Linked DNA regions of Schizosaccharomyces pombe. The gene in region 1 interacts genetically with each later gene. Each region holds a gene or a part of one and is shown on either strand. Other genes may lie near its edges.

Region 1 (3,760 bases):
GAGATTTCTAAAAATAACGAAAACAGCTAACAAATTTTGCTCCGAATTATGAACATCAATAGCATTGATGCTATCTTTTGTTTTGTTTTCGCTTAGTGAATTTGAAAAGTCTTCTCTGGAGAACTGCGATATCTCTACGCAACAATTGTAAAGAAGTTGTCTATAAGAAGGACGTTTATCGGCGATTTCCATTAAATCCTCATTAGGAAGAACAGATAGCAGATTATCAAGGCACTGAGTTGCAACGTCAATCAACGCATCAACTACATCCTGGCACTCACTTAACGGAAACATCCATTTTTGATCATTTGTTAATATAAGTAAAACGTTCATTGCATACGTTATTTCTTTTTCCAAAGTAGATTGCAGGCTCATGCACAAGGCTTGAATGTTTACAGTCCCCAGATCTACGATTGAAGGCATCTGAAGCCGAAGCAAAGATTCATCGAGCCTATACGTGGCCGCGACATTCAAGGGATAACCCAACATAGGATCGATGGGCTTTTTTATCGGTTGATAAGCAACGGGTTCGGCAGAATCAACAGGAGCTGCCGAAGAAGAAGTTTGAACGGTGGGCGGAGTGGGTCGAGTCGGAGCAGAAGGGTATGGTGGAGCATTTCTTTCAGAACTAACTGTGGTAGGAGCAGCTGGAGAGAAACGATTAGCGGTGAATGCTGGGGAGGGTGACTTTGAGTGAAGTGATCCATGCATAGAACCATTGGCATGTACAGCTTCTGGGGTGGTTTGGACCGGCTTTTGTGGATAGTTTTTTGGTCTGCTTTGAACATTCGCAGAATGATTAGCTTTTGCTTGTTGAAGTGATTTTTGTTGCTGTTGAGCAGCAAGCCATGCTTCTTCATATGGAAGCAGATAGGAATTGTAATATTGAATTAGAAGGGAAATAGCATCAGGAGATGGAAACCCCAAGGAAGCAGAAATTTTTGGCCAAAAATTATGAGCTGAGACTTGTCGAGATCCACCGGCACGCATAACCAAGGCGTACAGCATCATTAAATTAATAGGCGTATTATTTATTTGAGGATAAGATTTGATTGGCGTCCCCCGCTTTTCCATAAAAGAAATAAGGCTAACCATGAATTTGTCAAAACTAGCAGCATAAGCAGGCGTTAGTTGATTAGCATTACCAGAGGGAGTATTTGGGGAAGGTGCAGGTTGAGGAGTTTGTCTTACAGCTGGGTGGGCATTGATGCCAATTTGATTAGGAGGAATTTGTTGAGAGAGTAAGGCCTCTCTGCTTTGCATTTGTCGTTGATAAAGTTGTTGCTGCTGTTGCTGTTGTTGTTGCTGCTGCATTGCAGCCTCTTTTTCTTGTTGAAACGGGATCCGACTTGAAGGCATCATGGGACTAGAGTATTTCACAGATCCAGAGCCATTCCATGCACCGTTAGAGGCGAAATCAAATGATTGATTTGGCAAATTACGTTGAGTTGATGGAGATTGTCGGAAGGGCTGTGAATGAGCCAAATTGTTAGGCTCATTCTCGGAAGTATTCATCATGTTTGCATTTCCATATTCTGCTGCATACATCCCTTGGCTTGTCGAAAAGCGTTGAGGATACGCAGGTTGTTCTTCCTGAGTATTATAACTTTGACCTTGCGTGGGATATGATACTGCGGTTGGATAATCACTCGCAGGAACAAACCCTTGATTATTCATGATTCCTCATACTAAATCAAACAAAGAGTAAAGGGACCTTAAAATACACGTTTCAATATATTAACGTCTAAGGCGCTTGGCAGCTGAAAGTGCTTGAAAAGCAGACGAAGTGCATATAACGAGTTGTTTAGTGCTGCCTTTAAGAACCTAATCTGTGTGTTTCAGAAAATGCTTAAATTCCTAAAAAATCTTTACACTCATTCCTTTAAATCTCGCAAACGTGATTTCTTGCCTTTGCAGTGTCTCTTATTTCCAAGTCAATGACAATTGTTAGCATTGGGAAGCATTTATCGATTAGTCAGGTATCTAAAATTTTAAAAACAAAATAATATCTTATTCCTCTTGTAATAGAAACAATATTTATTAACTTGCTCTGTTAGTAGACTTGGCGAAACTGTAAACAATCACGAGTACAACATCTTCTTCTTGCGGAAACAGATATTTTTTTAATAAATTATTTTTTTTTTTTTTAAAATAGTAAAAGCATATGAGTTAACATATTCGAGATCCCGTTATCCTCCTTTTCTTTCTTTTTTTTTTTTTTTTTTTTTTGAAAGGAGCAATCAAAATTGACACATTAATTCAAATTTATCTGGTCTAACCTTTTTTTTATTTTTTATTCATTATTTTTCCTTCTTTCTTTCTGGCTACATAAGACTCGACGCAATGTCATTTTATAAATTTCATTGTTTTCTATAAACGTGCTTTCATATGTGTAAACCTATTGATGAATGAAACAAGATAGTAGAATATGGTAATTTCTATTATCAAGCAATTGGATTTAGGTTGTTGAACTCTATGGACAAGGGCTTGTACGTGTAAAATATATATGTTTATGACTTAATTATTTACTTTTGCAAATCTATGGTTTCAAGTCAACTCGCAAAAGGAATATCCGATTCAAGAAGGAAAAAAACTAAATACTACAATAAAAAAAGGTTTGTAGTATTTGAGATAAAGATGGAGATGCTATATTGCACATGTAGAATTTGATGGCATAAACAAGAATTAGATTTGAAACAAAAGTCAACTAACACAACTTTCAAGTCCACGTATAAAGCGATTTCTATTCTGACGGTTCATAAAATGTTTAATGAGCTTGCAAACTAAAACCAAGTAATTCGGAAATTAGGTATTTACAAGCTGATAATTAAAATGTGAACCCTTGAATTATTGATAATGAATTATAGATTTTATTAGTTTTAATTCCTTTTTTAAGTAATTTATCAAGTATAGTCCAACTATTTATTTACAAATATTGGTATATTAGGGTGTTTTAATAGAAAAAAAAACAAAAATTAAGCGAAGAAAAGTATTACATTAACAAGCCTGAAAAAGAAGCAAACAAACTAATTAAAAGATGTTAACTATATCAAACTTAAGAGAAAATTATTTAATAAATAAAACCGGAATTAAAAATTCTCTATAACGATGTTAGAGAAATTGTTCTAGTTACGTCGGTGTCCTTCAAAATCTGCCCTTAACCACAATCCCTGTAGGAAAACTATGGATGACATTCCAACTCTTCTTGCGAGAACATTAAACCCTACGACTTCCAAAAGTGGTAAGATACCCCAACAGAGTGGATAAAGCAAATTTACTAACTGATATAGCTGAGGAAGCACTGAAAGTATGGGAATTACAAGATAGTTCTTTTGCACTAAAACTCCTCAATATTGTCGCTGAGGATACAGTAGACATCAATATTAAGCTGGCCGCTTCATTGTATTTCAAAAATTACATTAAAAAACATTGGGATTCTGAGGAAGGTGCTTCTATTCGTATCAGCGATGAGGTGGCAGAATTGATCAAACGCGAAATAATCAACTTGATGCTGAAAAGTACTACCATTATTCAAGTTCAGCTAGGTGAAGTAATTGGTTATATTGCCAACTTTGATTTCCCTGATCGGTGGGACACTCTTCTCCCCGATCTGATATCTAAATTGTCTGCTGTTGACATGAACACGAATATTGCTGTACTTTCTACTGCACATGCGATTTTTAAGCGCTGGAGACCTTTATTCCGTAGCGATGCACTTTTTTTGGAGATCAAATATGTGTTGGATCGTTTTTGCGAACCA
Region 2 (3,131 bases), on another chromosome or scaffold:
ATTAACTCATTATCATCCTGTTCAATTCCACAAACAAAAAACAAGGAAGCATATCGTCGGTAAACAATTTTTTCGCCTAAGACAAATACAGTTAATTCATATTTTGAATAAAAATACCAATTTTTTTACCTTTATATTCAACAAAATTGCACATTTTTGGTTTTCGTGTAATCACCAGTGAAGAAACATCACGGATTATTTTGGCTCTCTCCTTGATTGACAAAGTATTGAACCATTTAGCTAAACGCACCTTTCCCTGGCGGCTTACGAGTAGAAAGAACTTTATAGACATCTTATAAAAGCTTATTAAATGCTTATACGCTGCTTTAAAGGGGATTGACACTATAAGGTAAACGATGTTTCAATTCGTAACCGCTATGGACGAAAGCTCATAAAGGTTACAAAAAAAAGGTAATAAATAATCAGAAACAAAACAGTTATCTAACGTTGACTGCCAAGATTGACTTAACGCTCACTATTGCTTGGTGTTGATAGCGGTAGTTAGGTAGTGCGTGTGCCAACTCTAAAGCAACTAAATACATAGGGCATCGGCAAAAGGTCCATAGACTAATTAAACCATATGAAGGATACCATAAAGACTAAACAATAAATGAAAGATTTTTTATAAAAAATTTTCTAGAGACTAGTATTTAGAACATCATCCTATCATGGTACGTTTACGGCCACGCATTCGTACTTCTTCAAATCTTCGAAGTGTTGCCTTAGATTGTTTCCAACTTTGGGCATAAGAGTCTAAAACATGATGAAACTTCAAACAGTTAGAATTTAAGTGCTTTAAGTCTAATAGTTAACATACCAAAGATTCGCTTTCTGGTAAAGTACTTGATAAAGCTCTCTCTAGGACGTAAATATCCACAGCTTTATCTTCCTCAGATTCGGAAACGCTTCCTAAACCGAAATCAATAAAAATTGGGACCGGATTGTTGTGAGACTCCAGCATCATATTACTAGTTGTCAAATCTCCATGAACGATATCATTCTTATGCATCTTCGCAACTTCTGATCCTATTCGCTTCATTAAAGGAATAAGTTTTTTTTCAATCTCACATTCGCAGATCTCTCGAATATAATCTCGTACACAAGGTCCATCAATCCATTCCATATATATTTGACCACGATTGGCATCTATAAAGTACAGCATGGGACATTTTATTCCAACGTAATGACATTTTGCTAAAAGTCTTGCTTCCACTAAGCAGCGTTTTCTTGATAATTTCTGATCTAAAATAGGATGTCTCCATCGTTTCGCAGGTCGGCACTTCAAAAGACAAACCTCACCTGGATAAAACTCGGTTTTTATCGTGATTGCTTCTGCACCTTGCTTTACCACAGTTAATTTCTTTTCCTTTATTTCACGATATATATCAGAACATCTTTGCCTAAGGTCAGGTTTTTCTGACATTTTAGAGTTATGTAAATGAAGATGGGATTTGGAATGATAATATGCGTTAGAGATCCGAAAATGTCACAAATTTAAACTGTCTTTAGAAAATTATCGTAAGAACTGTCAAATACTAATAAATATTTTTTAGACTTAAATTGATTAATTTCTGTTATTTACCCACGATTTAAATGTAATACAAAAATTAATTGAGTTATCCAAGAAAAATTACAGCATAAAGTTGACACTTCATTTAATATCATAGCCTTATATGTTCGTTTTTTTTTTTAATTCAGTTTATTAGTGTCTGCTGCATATCAAATCAAGTCTGGTTTTACAGAATCAATATGCTGATTTAATGTTAATGTTAATAACTTAAGAGTATTTAATTTAATAATTAAATGTATGATTTTAAGGGTTCATCACTTGAAAACACGTAAATTTGTTTGTTCAGAAAACCAACACAAACTCGATAGTGTCTATACAGGAAGACGTTTTCTAGATGCATTGCTTGTTCTTCATTCAATACACTTAACTCCGTAGGAGCTATATTTGTAATTTCTTCCAAAAGCTTTTGACTAAATTTTGGGTTTTTAACACTTCCAGTTTCATCGACAATTATGCTTATTAAATCTGCAAATCTCAAACCTGTCAAATCATTGCCATAAACTAATCCCCCTTCTTTTGTTAAATCTTTAATTTTACTTTGCATTATTAAAACGCCAACCTGCCCAAAAGCTTCTCCAGATTGGCTGGCTATTTTTTCAAGAGCCTCTAGGGTGCTCAATCTATAAGCATTTATCTTAATAAGTTCTTTTCTTTTGATTGAAAAATTTAATAGTTTCAAAACTTTACCATCAAATGACTGAAGTGTTTGAATTATTGCATCTTTAATTGACAATTCCAGCATTCCGGTATTGGTTCGGTAGGCAATTGCATTATGAATCAACAAAACTAAAAATTTTGGTGAGTAGGTACATACCTGAATAGAAATCTTTACATACTTGTTTCATTGTTCCAACTGAGAGCGGATTTAACTTGGGACTCTCCTATCAACACGATCATGGCTGATCCAGAAATATCGTGTACGTGTATCGTTTGTTTAGGTAGAGATTTTTTTGTTTCATTATTAAATATCTCGAATTCTTCTTTCCACTGTATTGCAACTAATACATTGACGAACGCCCCATCTTTAAAGTCATTCACTAGTGACAGCGGAACAATATTGTCGCTACCAAACCCAGGACATGGTATTTGCTCTGGTTCAGAAATTGTAGCTTCAATCTTGCTTTCCAAATTTTTGGAATGAATCTGTAGTTTCCAAGCTCTTATCCCAGAAACACGACAGACTACGTCGCTATAGACGAAAACTGAAATGCCGAGTTGTAACTGTCTCAGCATTTCAAATTTTGGCGAATACTTGGATAAACTATAGTTCAATTCAACAATTCCAGTATCATCCATAAGTTTAAACATATAACAAACCTCGTTGGATGAGACACGCTTATTTTTTAAATTAACTATCTTTCCCTTAAAATAGTATCTAAATGTACTTGTCCCTAACTCGTTAATTTTTTTGAATTCATACAATTTCCAATTGATAAACTCAGATAAGTAAACTTCCATTTTTATCTGTAATTTGTGGTGGTTTGCTTTATTTCTTTGGATGCATGAAATACGCGGTAATGAAGTGAGCTAATTTAAATACTAAACATATATACTGAGGCAG

Evidence for each region. A genetic interaction does not mean that the proteins touch.
Region 2: mutations in sol1 (region 1) and bud32 together harm fitness more than expected from each alone (negative genetic interaction), as found in Schizosaccharomyces pombe (one large-scale study listed by BioGRID).

Annotation. Positions count from the first base shown.
Region 1 is NC_003423.3:1,310,048-1,313,807, forward strand, and holds the start of sol1 (SWI/SNF complex subunit Sol1), read right to left. Parts: upstream 1,756-3,760; 5' UTR 1,678-1,755; coding exon 1-1,677. Other genes in the region: karyopherin/importin beta family nuclear export signal receptor Kap109, read left to right, coding at 3,184-3,241, 3,291-3,760.
Region 2 is NC_003424.3:1,619,840-1,622,970, forward strand, and holds bud32 (serine/threonine protein kinase), read right to left. Parts: upstream 1,454-3,131; 5' UTR 1,424-1,453; coding exon 818-1,423; exon of another isoform or gene 770-817; coding exon 659-769; 3' UTR 529-658; downstream 1-528. Other genes in the region: vas2 (AP-1 adaptor complex sigma subunit Aps1), read right to left, coding at 1-76, 130-292; protein meu32, read right to left, coding at 1,800-2,356, 2,407-3,028.